Xenopus tropicalis: one gene and its partners. The protein of the gene in region 3 binds, or shares a complex with, the protein of the main gene of each other region. Links are inferred from orthologs where the notes say so. Each region holds a gene or a part of one and is shown on either strand. Other genes may lie near its edges. The genes, in order: cdan1, tlk2 and asf1a.

Region 1 (4,565 bases), on a different chromosome or scaffold from region 3:
GTGTCCTCAGACACCTATAAGAGAAAAGGGGATTTTGTATTACTCTTTAATCCTTTTCTCTTGGGGTGTCTGTGGGACTCTGGGCTTGCCCTCTTGTTAAACAAAAATGACTAGATCAGGAAGTGGTGAGGTGTATAGCAGCAGCAGGCAGGAGTAGTCTTCCTTCTTCTCTAGTGTCCTGCCTCCTGCTGGCAGATGCTGTACTTCATGGCCCCACAGACATCCCAAGAGAAAGGGATTTAACAGTGAGTAACACAAATTCCCCCTTTTTTATGGTTTGTGTATGATCTCTCTAGGCAGAAATTCTGTTCTTGAATGTATCTGTCTGTTCTGGTTAATAGTTATCATTTTAATCAACATCTGATGGACAGCCTGTGCCAAGAGATAAAAGAACTGGATGGCATCTCTATTATTGGGCATGAGCCAGCTGATGGAGAATCTGATATGGATGAGCAGGTACAAGCCACTGTTTTTTCACCCATTCTAATTATTTAGAATTAATTTGCCTTACTTTGAACTCTGATTTGTATCTAGTGATTAATTGCATGAGCAATCAATAGCTACACAGCTTGGCGGAAAATAATTTCCTACTGTTTTGCATGTCAATAAACTGGAAACAAATGTGCGCACACTTCAGGCGATTGGTGATCAAAAATCTTGACTGCCATATTTCCAAATGAAAACCTGATTTACAGGTGCACTTGCAATTCCATGGTAATTGTGAGCATATTACCTGCCCGCAGAGTTGTGGATCACCTAAGAGAACAACTGCAAGAACTGTGGAAGGTTTTAGTGTTCCAGTGGATTGGCTAGATATGCTGCTCCTTAGTATGTCCTTTGCAACGTCTAGGGTAATATTAGGTTGACTGCATGGTATCATTAAAACTACTACATATTTGCGGTTTTGAATTGCTAATTGTTTGGTAGTGCAATTATAATTATTTCCAACACATTTCATACATTTTCTCTAATCCCAAAAAATAACCATAAAATTAACATGCCATCTTTGCAGGATGAAAAAATTCGTTTTGCTTCTGTCATCATGACCCTTCGTCTGCTGGCAAAGTTTCTGGGATTTATATATTTCTTACCGTACAGAACAACAGAAACGCTCACCAGTGAACTGCAAGAATCTGCCTTGGCTTTAAGAAACCAGGTAAAGAATAAATCACCTAAAACTCTGTATAGGTGTTCTAGTTTGGTCTTTTCTAGTTTTGTATGTATTTACAAGAATATTAGTGGTCTGCCAGTCTGAGCACAATGGGGAATTTTTATACAGGAATGAAGACACAAATGATTTCTGGCTGAAATCTACCTTGTGCTTGGTGAAAGGAGGATTGCATTCATGTCACTACACTCACGAGCTGAGTGGATAGGATCCTAAGTGTGCTGTAGGATAAAGAAGCCCTTCTTTGGTGGCCTAATGCAAACAGAACTAACATACTGACATCTACAAATTCAACCTCAGCATGTTGAGTAGGTCAAGTAAATGCAGTGCTGCTGACAGTCACAATGCAGAATTGCTCGGTTTTAGGATGAAATCTACCATGTGATTACTGACAGGGGGATGCTGTGCTTGTCAGTGCCTTTGTAACAGCGGTGGCAGTGGATAAACAATTTCTCCAAATACACAAGTGGAGAAGCTACCAGGTGACATTATCCATAGGGATGTATAATGTAAAAGGGATAGAGTGAAATAATTAAATAATACCTCAGTTTATATATACTAGAGTTATAACTTTAGTTAGAACTAAGCCTTTTTCAGCAACCTTCTCCTCAAAGCTTAGGCTACTGCTACACTGGACTGTGTCTCTGATTGTGTATAAGTGCCAGCCGAGAAACAACCCTTCCATTTCCTTCTGTGGTCCACCATTGTTTTCTGGGTGCAGACACAGGAGACTGCAGAACGAAGCAGAGGGGCTGTTTCATGTTTTGTGCTTATACGCAGGTCGAAAACAGCCCAGTGTTGCAGTGCAAACAAGAAAAACTCCAGTGCCATTGGCTAAGGTAAGAAACAACAAACTGTATATAGTGTTGTATTCTCTTTTAATGACACAACTTTTGTGATCCAAAGTATAATAATAAAAGTGACCAGTGGAAAACCCCCCAGATAACTAATAGGTCTTTGCACCGGGTGCCCGTTTTCAATTTTCTCCTTTTACATAAAACTACCCTACATAGGCGACTTGTTTTAGGTGCTGAATATTGGTTTTTAGATCTTTTTGGTTTTAAAGATTTGGGGTTTTTTTTCCACTGATCACTTGTATAATTATACTTTGTATCACAAAGGTGTGTTGTTAAAAGAAAATACTACACTATATACAGTTTGTTGTTTCTTCCCCTAGCCAATGGCGCTGGAGTTTTTCTTGTTTGTTTAGAATTAAAAGGATTTGTTGAAACTCCATCAACTTTGGCCGGGATCAGCTTGGAACTTTTTACACATAGATTTATTTATTTTTCCGGTGTATCAGTAGCCTTAGTATTCACCAGCATTAATTTGACAAGGCTCATAAGCAATAAGTACAAATACAAACTTTGAGTCTAATTGTAAATATTCACTGAAAATGTCTTTTACTTGTTCAGACTTTACCCATGCTAGACGTGTTGCAGCTGCTGAGGCGTTCAATGCAGAATTACCGTATTGTGCTGACTGTCCCATGGGTAGTAGAATATTTGTCATTAGTGGATCAAGTTGCTCCCCTTCTGGATTATTACAAGAAAGTGTTTGCACTATTGATGCACCTGTACAGGTGAGCAGCAGAGTTACAGCATGAGAACTTGACATTTTTGTTTTATTGCTGTTCAAGACAAATTAATTTTGAAGTAATATCTGTATAAAAATACATTTAGCCTTTTGCCTGCCAGGTATGTAGATTCTGTGTATTGCCAGGTAAAGGCTCAAAGTGCCAAATGAATAATCCACCTTTATTGGCACACTGAGTGGTGTACTTCACAGGCAGCTCTTTTTTTTTTTTTTTTTTTTTAATACCATTAAACTGAGTGACGTAATTGTACTTTGCATTGTTGTTTTATGTTTTTTGCATATAAAAGTGTAATTTGTTGAATCAGGTATTTTAAACACTGATTACACTGTGTGATTACTTTTCTTTTTTTATTGCATTTTTATGTTTGCATTAGAAATTAGAATTCTTGAAATTAAAATGCAATATCCACAGTGTGTGTTTGTTTGTTTGTTTATTCTTTCATATTATGCGCAGACGTTAGATACTATTCTACTCTTGTAATGCTTTGCATGTAATTGTAGATCAGCAAAAATTGAAACATGGCATGATACCAAAGTTAAAACACTGATTTCGAATGCCCAGAAAACCGTATTTAACCTAATTTGAATTATCCAGGAAATCCATTTCCCGTTTTTTTTTTTTCCCAAATCATTCATAAGACTGATAGAATGTCATTCGCTTATTGCCTCTTTAAAGCTTTCTTACTAGCTCTCTCCTTTTGGATCGATGCAAGTAAAATACATTGCTCGTAGCGATCCAAGTTAATTGCAGGGAAATGTGAAAGAAAACTTTAAATGCACAGTGTATTATTTATATAGCACCATCATCTCCCCAAAGCAAGGTGATACAAAACATAACACCCAAAATATAACACCTACAAACGGTGATATCTTACTAAAGCAGATACACAGTGCAGGATGTGTGAGTGTTAAGGACAGTAGAGGAGGGTGCTGCTCAGAATCAAAATAAGTTGTGTTTGTAGCTACACATCTACACATCTCTTGCGCCATGTCTTCTGAGCCCTCTGTTATACCCTGCCCTCACTCTCCCATTGCAATAATATGCAGATTTGTGGACTGCTGTAACAAGCCAAACACACCAGTGATGTGCGGGTTGACCTGCAACCCATGTGTTTTGGGTGCGGGACAGTTTGGAAAGTACACTGCTCCTTTTGGACCCTAAGGCATGCTCAGATTCAGCACACACAGCTGAAAGACACAGGACCTACAGTGGCAACAGTTTGCAGGTTAGGGTCGGGTGCAGGTTTAGGTTTTTCTGACCGGCTCACCACTAAAACACACTTAGGCCACTGAGCTGGATGTGGCAATCCTGAATATAATTATGACCTTTGGCCTGCTCCACTTATAATTTTAATAAACATTTATTCAATTATTTTATAATAATCTATTATATGGAGACTCATTGGGTCACTTCATGGAGAAAGCAGGCCTGTACTGTGCTCTTACCGTGAATGTTTCTGTGAAATGCTCTGATTAACAGATCCACTTTTATTATCTTAGGTACAAGCTGATCCTTGCTGAAGAGAGAGAAATGGGATTCCTGAATAAGTTGCTTATTCTTGCTGCATTGGGCTGGCTTTTTCAGGTAAAATTGTGCCACAGTGAAAAAAATGTTCTCTTCACTCATAAACAGATTTTGCATAATGAAAAAAATATAATTCTAAGCAACCTTCCAAAATATACTAATCACTTATTTTCTGTGGTTTTAAATTTATGTGCAATTATTATAAACAGTATTTGTTGATATTCTCTGCACTGATGCCTCTAACTCCTGAGACTTTGATGCAAGCCAGCTGATTAA
Region 2 (4,565 bases), on a different chromosome or scaffold from region 3:
AAGATGTCCTAATCTTAGCTTGAAGATCTCTTCCTGTTCATGGTACTCTGCTAATGTCAACCTAAGTACAAAGACATACAATAATATGGCAAAAATATAATAAGAATACAATACTGAATATTGCAAATATTTCTACCAGCAGCACTCTACAACTGCAGCACTTACGCTTCATTCTCTGCTCCATTTGTCTTGTTTTTTCTTTGCTTCTGCTCATTGTTGGCTGGAGGGGTTTGGCCCATTGCAGGTGGTTTCCGTTTTGCCAGCATTTTTCTTTGCCTTTCAATCTCCTCCCTTTGGGTATTTATACGTTCTTGTTGCCTGGGAAAAAAAAAATATATATATTTAGTGTAATATATAAGTGTGCCACAAACTTAGAGACAAGGGATCCACAACTTATTTTACTTGTGAGGCACACTCGGATGTATAAATTGTTGGTGAGCCACAAAAGCATGAAGAGAGTTTTTTGGGGCTGCAAAATAATGCTGTGATTGGCTATTTGGTAGCCCCATGTGGACTGCTCGTCTGTAGCAGAGTCTGTCTCGCTTCCAAAACTTGCATCCAAGCCAGAAATTTAAGATCGGCCAAAATTTTGAGGCCCCTGGTATCATCCTCAAAGGGGGGCGGGGTGAAGAATATATTGCTCACAAGTCACTTGGGGGGGGGGGCTGGGGGTCACTGATATAGACTGTACGCTCAGAAGCTTGGAATTTTGGAAGAGGAGGGAACTATAGGAGAATGTCAACATTTTGGAACACATATTTGCATGCAGCCTACTCTTCAAAATATGAGTACATAAAAAATTACCTATAGGTCATGTTAATTGTTCTTTGCCGACAGATGTGCATTTTTTTTTCCCAAAGATTTTTATTCATGCATTAATAACATAAAACAACAACATTATGACATTAGTTCTACAAGAGTTTTTCATTTTCATGTCTATGAATACATTGTTTTTTGTAATCAGTAACAACCTACTCGAGGTACTGTTCAAACTTCTGCTAAGGAGGGGGAAGACTTTAGGATTTTTGGTGGAGGTTCACATTCCCAAGGACAAGATTATATGGTGCTATTCTATAGTTTCAGCCCATTGTCCCTATACCTTGACATATTTTTGAGGGCACCCCCTTGCTGTGTAAGTAGGTTGTATCAGTGGTAGAAGGGCTTTAAGCTAATTGAGCCAACTGGCGATTGTTGGGGGAGGATGTGCCGTCCATTGAATGAGAATACATTTCCTGGCATTAAACAGTAAGGTTCTAAAGAGGTTTCAGGAGATAAAGCCACTGGACAGAGTCAAAGGCTTTGGCTGTATAAAGAGAGACTACTACACGGGAACCTTTACTGATCTGGTTGGCATGAATATTAGTAAAGGTCTGCATTTTTAAGAAATTGTAATTTAAAGTTCCTAAATCTGACTGTCCCTTTTCGACCTGTCAGGTATAGCTTCTAATGCTAATGGCCAACTGCTGTACAAATATGGTAGCCCCCTTGTAGGTAATATAAAAGCATTGGGCAAAAAATGGCATGCAAAAACAATGTTATGATTTATAAGAAGGTTTTATTTCTGATGTCAGTATCTCTAAGCTTTCAGAAGAGCAATTTCACAGTGGGCACCTCCAACAGCACATAATAGCAGACATGGCCTTGATAAATACATACAGTGAGATTTTGGATCTGGAAGGTTAAGATGTGTCAGAAAAGGGTGAAGCTCCCAGACACTTAACTGTGGACTTATCATATCATATCTGAGAGATTCCTGACTGTCTTCTGAATACCATCCACTGGTAAAGTGAAATTATTTTTAGACTGTGGTGGGTTTTGACAGTTTAGATGACATTAGAAAGAAAAAAACATGAAAAGCTCTCTTTGCTAATACATATTATACATATTTTGTGAAGGTGAGCTTCGCCCTGTGGTATATAAAAATCAGACGTTTATCATGTAAATCAATGACAGAAGTTTATGCATGTAAAAAATGCAGTAGTTTAAGATCATTGCACTGTAAGTGCTGTAATCACAGTAAGTACAAACACTGCATGCAGACTATTTCTTACTTGATAAGGTTCTGGAAGGCATAACCATCTGTCCACTGCTCAGTGAAAGAGGCCCCATGTCGGACAGTAGTAAAGTGTCCCAGGCGCAGGCGATCCTGCATGCTTTTATCCCGACAAGCCATTTTCTCCTGTTTAGACTGGAAAGAGAATTTAAAGTTGTTTGCAGAAAGCTTAAAAAAATTTGCTCTCACCAGTGCTTACAACTAAGTTAAACACAGTTCTGCATAAACAACTGCTTTCTAAACTAAGTTCTGTTGGTCCTGTTAATGCAATTTGTATATAGATAGAAAATTGGCAAAAGCATGTGTCAGTGGTACATACTTTAAAAAATAAATTATTATTGGATTGCCACAGGGTTCTGTATTGGCTCTACAATTTATTCACTAATGATTTGGGGCTGGGTATAGTAAGCAATGTATTGGTGTTTGGGGAGACAAACTATGCAGGCCAATTAAGTTCATACAGTATGTGGCATTGTTTGCAGCAGGATCTATACAATCTTGCAATCTGGCTAAGCAGCAGATTAGTGCTGATAAATGTAAGGTTACATATTTGGGACCAAAACTAACAGGTTAATTGGCTTCAGACATAATTAACCCCACTGTGTTGTCTAACTGTCTAAAGGGACTTTACACTGTAAGCTGCACTGGAGCATAGACTGATGGGAATTGAAAATAATTCTGTGGAAATGTGATGGCTTTATGTAAAGGAAAATCTGATCCTCTGGCTCTCGAGTTAACAACTGAATCATATCAGGTAATGCAGATTTATATACCACATACAAAATTTCTTGCCCAATGCAGCTTTTGAGCCTTGGTCAGAGCCTACCATTTTAAGTTACTACACAGTGCACGGAAAGCTGAAAATGTTTAGGAATCTATGCAACAGATATTTGCTGTTTCACGTTACTTATGCTTATTAAAGTAAATGTTTACCTTCTCTATGAGCAACTTTTTGCTCATTGTCACGCATCTGTTTAACCGTTCTTTATATTTTTCCAGCATTTTCTTCTGCTCGTCCATCTGTCGCCTTAGGTCACAGTTTACCTAAAAACGAGACAAAAGTCAGGAATCAAAAAAAGAAGTCATAAAAGGGGACATGTAGTGTGAAAAACAAGTATATGCAATTACAATAGCACCTTTATATAAAAAAAGGGCAGGATGCCATTCAATCAACATTTAGGCAGATATATCTTTCCCGAGATGCGGTAGTCTACCCCAATCCTACTGTGCTTCTTATTAAGCATTGTTAGAACACACACTACTTATTTGTAACAGAGTAATAGCCTAGCCCTAGAGAGAGGATATCTAGTCATCATTTTTTTGGTTTATGCACCCCTTGAAGGTCCAACCATTGGTCAGGGCCCTACTTATAGGTTTAGATATTGGTAAATATTGGTGCGTCACAAACAGCACCATAACTGACTGGTTTAGGTGTATGTAGGACATTAGGAACTGTTCCCAAATTTCACACAAAGTGGCATATAGGCCGAGACCCTCAAGCCACTGATCCAGGTTTGCCACAGGACCATACCAATAATTTAGGAACCACTGATCTACAGGGAGATGTCAAATATATGGTGAAGTTAAGGCACTCAAGTCATTGAGCGCCAATAAGGATATTGTGATCAAAGCTGCAGACAAAGGTGGGTCGGTGGTAATTTTGGATGCTGGTATGTATGAGGCCGAGGTGATGCGTCAGTTATTAGATTTGGACACCTATGTCCCATTGGATAAGGATCCAACGATCCGGTTCCAGAAATCATTGAATGAGCTATTACTAGAAGGGATGTCTATAGGTGTCTTAACTAAGAAAGAATATGAGTCTCTCAACTGTATCTCTCCCACCATACCCATTTTTCATGTTCTCCCGAAGGTCCATAAGTCTCTGCAAGATGTTAAAGGTCGACCTATAGTGGCCGGCATTGGGTCCTTGAATGAAGGTCTATCTGGCTATGTGGATAAGCTACTAATGCCTTTGGTGCTACAATTGCCAACCTTTTTAAAGGACACCACTATGTGTATCAATAAGCTAGTTGACCTGAAATGGAAGCCAACCTACAGGTGGTTTTCCATGGACGTTACAGCTTTATATTCGTCTATCGATCATGGGGCTGGCTTGCATGCTATCCAATTTTGGCTGGATCAGGAAGGGGGTTTTCCCCCAGAACAGAGGGATTTTATTTTACAATCAGTACATTTCCTTTTATATACCAACTATTTTCTTTTTGATGGGAAGTTCTTTCTCCAGAGACGTGGGGCCGCGATGGGAGCTTCATTTGCCCCCACTTATGCCAACCTATTCATGGGTTGGTGGGAGAGGCTCCACGTCTTTGGGGATCGAAACCCATTCCGCAGCCAGATCATGTGCTTTTATCGCTATATTGATGATTGTATAGGAATATGGGATGGAGATGCATTTTCATTGCTATCCTTCATTGATTATTGTAATAAAGCTGTACAGGGTATTACTTTTACTTATGAAACAGATCTGACAAGGATACCTTTTTTGGAT
Region 3 (5,239 bases):
GTACCACAAGTAGCAGATATTTCACTGCAATTTTATTACAGAGTGCATATCTATCCATTACTAATCTGCAAGATGCCATTTCTTTCTAGACACTTGGGACTAAGGGCTGTGGCACATGGGGAGATTAGTCGCCCACGACAAATCTCCCCGAAATGCCATCCCACCGGCGAGAATGGAAATCGCAGCACTGCATATGCCATCCCACCGGCAATTTACATTCTCACCGGTGGGATGGCATTTCCTGGAGATTTGACAGGAAAAAGTTTGAAGTTTGACAGCCACATAGCAAGTACACTTTTAAGGGCTTTGGTACATCGGGAGATTAGTCGCCCGCAACAAATCTCCCTTGTCGCGGGCGACTAATCTCCCTGTGTGCCAAAGCCCTTAAAGTGTACTAGCTATGTGGCTGTCAAACTTCAGTGGGGAGCAGTCCTTGACATGTTATATATTGACACACTGTCTGTCTGTACACGTAATTCTTGGGGGAAATTAGTCATGGTAGGCAGGAGCATAGAGACAGAGACATCAGTTCTTCAGGCAAAAAACACAAGTTTATTTTGGGGCAAACTCTACCCAACATAAACATCAGCAAACTGTTCATCATATATGTTCATGATTAGTACCCTATTTGGAATTCTCACCTTCCAGGGTAACTCTCATACTCTGGAACCTTTTCCTGGGGCTTCTCACCATCCCGGCCATCTCACACTTTGGCTTCTCACTAAGCCTTGTCGTTCTGGCACTCATACACATGGCTCCTTGCAGTGGCAGGCAGCACCCCCAGCCCCCTGGGAGTTCCTAACACAGGCAGGCAGCATTCTTGCTCTGTGTCCTACTCTGAAAGACCTTTCTCAGTGACTCCTGGCACTTGGTTACAGCTTTCTCTGCTCTGAGAGTGAACCCCTCTCTGTGAGTCCCCCTGTTTGTGGCCATACACGTAGCAATTCTGATGGTCACAGGATCGTTTGTTTCCCCCACAACGTTCAGGGCTGAATGTGGAGGTAGAAACAATAGGAATTCTACCTCCACCTGCCGATTCAGCCCTGAACGCAGATTTTGTTTGGGCGCCTTCAGTGGCACCCGATCAAAATCTTTTAACCTGGGTGATCGATGAGACAGCCAATATCCACAGCCTTTGCTATATCGGTTGTCTCGTCGATCCGCCATACACGCACCGAATATCGTTCAAAACGAGGTTTCGTACAATATCATTAGTGTGTTTATGGCCAAAATAAACATTACATCACCTGGCAGTTGTTTTTCAAACTATTGCAGAGTTTGTAAGAATTTGTATGAATTGTTTTCTGGAGGAGGAAACTTTGTAAAAATGAATGTAAAGTATATGCCATTCCACCGGCGATTCACTTTATTGCCAGAGGAAAGGCTTTTCAGGGAGATTAGTTGCCTGCGATAGCTGAAATGTAACCATGGGGGACTAATCACCCTGTGTGCCACCACCCTTAATGGTTCTTCACTAAGAAGAATATTTTATATAAAATCAATATCAACTTACCTGAAATACAAACATATGTCGGCCTGCAGGTACAGGTCCCACCAATACAGAGTCTAAAACCTGGTCATATTCTTCACTTTCAGCAGAGCCCACGTAAATAATTTTCCATTCTAAATCTGGTGGAAAGTATAATGTTAATTGAAAAGGAATGGGAAATTAGCTCTTCAGCTATCTATAAATATAAAAGTAGTCTCTTAGCCTGATGCCACACAGGGCTGATTCTCAGCCTGAGGAAAACTATTGCGTCAGTTCAGGTGCAGGCACTTGTAGCAGATATGGGTTGCTGAAATGAGAGGCAAGGAAGAAGGCTGATGCCAGCATAGGGACTCTGTTTTACGACAGGCCCTGTGTGGCATCAGCCTAAAAAAAAAGTTCATTAGATGACATCCTAAACATAGTGGGGTTTTTTTTTTTTTTTTTTTATCACCGTGGGATGGCATATGTATTGTTTCTGTCTTCTGAGTCTGAATTTTTCTTGTGAGGCAACTTTTGACTTTTTCAGTTCACATTTTTAGTAAATGTCAGACATTAATGAAAATGAATTTAGTCAGATTTTTAAAAATTGCAGCAGCTAGCTGTATCAATATATTGTTCTTCTGAAAGTGGAAAAATGGATGACAGATTTGATCATGGAGAACTGGACATCTTTCTAAGGTGACACATTTTCTTGTTGTTATTCGAAAAATTATTATATTCATAATTTTACCATTAATTTGGGTTAAAAAAGGACAACTGCCCATCAAGTTAACCATTTTTAAAGAGATTCATAGGCAGATTGTCAGTGTGTGTTTTTATTTACTATGTTGGGACAGTGATTATTAACGCACACAAGCGCCCAGTTCCATGAATATGTACATCTAAATGCCCCTGTGTTACTATTGAGTTTGTGCCCATTACACAGTGAGATGAGGGAGGGGCTATAATTCCACCTGTGACATAAAAAAAGATGAATGCAAGGAAGAATAAACATCTTTTCTCCCCATAACAATGCAATAAACATCCTTATTTTTGTATTTTCCCATGTATTTATATAATAAAAACTGCAGGAAAAAAAAAATAGAAAACAAGCTTTTGCTTTTCACTCCAGGCAGCAGGTCAGCATTATACAAGTAACCGCTATTTAAAATCTGCTGTCTTTGCACTGCAAGAGCCCCAGTGCAGAGGTCACATTGCGTGTCCTGCATTGTCTGTGTCTGTTTCACACTCATTAACCCGACCCCCTCCCTCTCTATCCACAAACAAAACATGGCTGCTGCTCCTGCCACCAGGGCACCTTTCAAACTTACTTTCCCAGTGTGTGCAGCAGCATTCCCATACACTCCCAGCTAGTGCAACCGCAAGTTTTTTCCCTGCTTGTCTACGTTAATGTGCCGGCATTTTATTCCTGTCAGCGCCTGCTCTGCTTCTTAGCCAAGCATCAGGCCTGTGGGAATCAGTTTAACCTCTTGTGCACTAGGATGCTTCTTTAGCAGACTGCCAAAAGAAAGAACTGATTGTAACTCACCTTCAGAAAGGTCCTCTATGCACTCAAAGGTGATTTCGAACTGGAAAGGATTGTAGAAAGGAGAAGGGTTATCCAGCACCACCACATTGTTCACCTGAACCTTTGCCATATTTTGGAAATGCTCAAACAATGGGGATGGTGTGAGAGTGCAGGCAAGACCCAGCAGTGCTTATCTGTGCAGAGCCCCTGTCACTGCTTCTTGCAGTTCTTTACACCAGTCCTGAGAAACTTTCTTCCAAATCAGCTTATTTGTTTGTTTGTTTTCTTTTTATTTCATCCATTGATTACTTTCAATGTGAGCAACTCCACTCTATTTTATTTATTATTTCTCCCCCCTCCCCTGCTCTCCTATCTTACTTCACTACACCACATTCTGTTCTGTTGCTATAACAGCGTGTGTCCGGATTGGCTGCTCCCTGGCCCTTCCCATAATGCTAAAAGCTACACGACAGAAAAAGACAGACTTCTCATGACCATGGGAGCTGGAAATGTTTAGCAGCTGCTCCACCTGCTGGCTGACAGCTCGAGCACACCTCAGGGAGGATCTCTCCGCACTGACAGGCTCAATAGTCTTGCTGCATCTGTGTTTCCTAGCGTCTGAACAGTTCAAAAGTAGTGAGCTTTGCCTCTTTTGGCACTTTGAGGCTTTCAACAAAAACTTCGCTTCTTTAAAAAATGTTTTTCTCTATCTCCCTGGTGTACAAATTAAGATATTCAGGGATCAGCTGAGTTTATCTCATAAGGATATGCATGCAACCAATTAAAGGCTGTTGCACCTGGGGCTCTGAATCCCCCCTGGCAAAATGTCCTCTGGGGAAAAGCTGTTAATCAGAATTTTTGTTTTTTTGGGGTTTTTTTTTTGCTCTTTATTTACTTTTATTTATATTTAAAAAAAATTGACAGTAATGTAGCAGTTACTTATAGGACTATATGGTAGAACCCCTATTTCTGGGAAAACATAAAAAATAAAATGTACCTTGCCTGTATGGGAGGACAAAAAAACCTGCCAATTCTGGGAAAACATAAAATTAGGGTTCAACCATAGTAAATTAGGTTGAAAAAAGACACATCCATTAAAGGAGAAGGGAAAGTAAAAACTAAGTAAGCCATAAGCACTCACAGAAACACTGCACTGAGTCCTTCAAAAGAAACACAGGATTTCTTGTGATTGCTTGTTTTTTGTGAAAATGTTCTTCAGTATCAGACTTCCTCTCTTTTAGGGCTCCTTCAGGTTTGGGGCATGAGTCTGCTCAGTTCTTTTACTCTCCCTCTCCCCCTCCCTTCTGCTTCCCCCTCCCATAAGAACTCCCACCCTTAGGAATGTGTGATTCGCGCTACCAATGGCTATAACTGCAGCAGGAAGCTACCAAGACCAAGCTAAAATGGCAGCTGCTATCGGAGGGAGCTTCTAGGGCTCTTTACTCAGGTATGGTAAAGCTTTCTGCTGAATAAATATAGCGTTCTAGGTGGTACTAATGTGGCAAATCTATTGGCAGTAAAATGCTAAAAATTGCTTTTCTTTCTCTTTCAAGTTCAACCTTTTGTGTCTATATATAACCTGCCTAATTGCTAGTTGATCCAGAGGAAAGCAAAAAAAAAAAAAAACCCTTCTAAAGCCTCTCTAATTTGCCTCCTGGATCATCTAAAACTATTTTCAATGACCATGTCTATCTAATGTATCTGCCAGAAGGACTGATTCATAGGGAGAATTTCACAACTTCACATCTCTCGCTGAAAAAACCCTTTCTGAATATTTAGATATAATGTCCCTTCTTTTAATTGAAATGGATGCTTTTGTGTCTGCTGGAAGGACCTACTGTTAAATAATTCACTGAAGACCAAAACTGCATGGCATATTCTAGATGGGGCCTTACCAGCGCTTTGTAAAGTGGGAGAATGAGCCCTGCCTCTAGCAAATCTATGCCCATTTAATACAATTTAACACCTTGTTTTCCTTGCAGCTGCTGCCTGGCATTGCTTGCCACAGCTAAATTTATTATCTACAAAGACTCCAAGGTCCTTCTCTATGTCATATCGGGGAGGGATTTGTCGTGGGCGACTAAACTCCCTTGTGTGCCAGAGCCCTTAATGGTATAAGTAGCTTGCCTATTTTTACATCCCAGGTGTACAACCTTACATATATCTTACATTACAGGATGCCACATCCTGGATGAAATTAATTGGGCTGAATTGGCTTGTGCCATTTGCAAACACTGATACAT

The links.
Region 1: the proteins of asf1a (region 3) and cdan1 are in contact, whole or in part, in a cryo-EM structure (PDB 9CVC), measured with the Homo sapiens proteins. The link is inferred for Xenopus tropicalis from reciprocal best matches to the Homo sapiens genes ASF1A and CDAN1. Residues at the interface, in NP_054753.1 of Homo sapiens: Gln5, Val6, Asn7, Asn8, Val9, Val10, Val11, Leu12, Asp13, Pro15, Asn20, Pro21, Phe28, Asp37, Val45, Ser47, Ala48, Glu49, Ser50, Glu51, Glu52, Asp54, Asp58, Ser59, Val60, Leu61, Val62, Gly63, Pro64, Val65; in NP_612486.2 of Homo sapiens: Arg195, Arg196, Ile197, Asn198, Thr200, Val202, Lys390, Leu391, His470, Glu471, Glu472, Pro473, Gly474, Trp475, Asp476, Lys538, Arg541, Arg544, Leu545, Gln546, Arg548, Leu549, Met550, Ala551, Pro552, Gln553, Ser554, Ser555, Arg806, Lys807.
Region 2: the proteins of asf1a (region 3) and tlk2 are in contact, whole or in part, in a crystal structure (PDB 7LO0), measured with the Homo sapiens proteins. The link is inferred for Xenopus tropicalis from reciprocal best matches to the Homo sapiens genes ASF1A and TLK2. Residues at the interface, in NP_054753.1 of Homo sapiens: Val45, Ala48, Glu49, Glu51, Asp54, Asp88, Val92, Thr93, Val94, Leu96, Arg108, Gly110, Tyr111, Tyr112, Arg145, Thr147, Phe149; in NP_001271262.1 of Homo sapiens: Arg11, Arg12, Gln13, Leu15, Leu16, Glu17, Arg19, Phe20, Thr21, Gly22, Val23.

Annotation. Positions count from the first base shown.
Region 1 is NC_030684.2:105,928,690-105,933,254, forward strand, and holds part of cdan1 (codanin-1), read left to right. Parts: intron 1-341; coding exon 342-456; intron 457-1,012; coding exon 1,013-1,156; intron 1,157-2,583; coding exon 2,584-2,750; intron 2,751-4,264; coding exon 4,265-4,349; intron 4,350-4,565. UniProt on the Homo sapiens protein: May act as a negative regulator of ASF1 in chromatin assembly.
Region 2 is NC_030686.2:15,271,597-15,276,161, forward strand, and holds part of tlk2 (serine/threonine-protein kinase tousled-like 2), read right to left. Parts: intron 3,098-4,565; coding exon 2,987-3,097; intron 2,189-2,986; coding exon 2,052-2,188; intron 319-2,051; coding exon 166-318; intron 62-165; coding exon 1-61. UniProt on the Homo sapiens protein: Serine/threonine-protein kinase involved in the process of chromatin assembly and probably also DNA replication, transcription, repair, and chromosome segregation. Phosphorylates the chromatin assembly factors ASF1A and ASF1B.
Region 3 is NC_030681.2:73,626,125-73,631,363, reverse strand, and holds the start of asf1a (histone chaperone ASF1A), read right to left. Parts: upstream 3,455-5,239; 5' UTR 3,127-3,454; coding exon 3,018-3,126; intron 1,630-3,017; coding exon 1,514-1,629; intron 1-1,513. UniProt on the Homo sapiens protein: Histone chaperone that facilitates histone deposition and histone exchange and removal during nucleosome assembly and disassembly.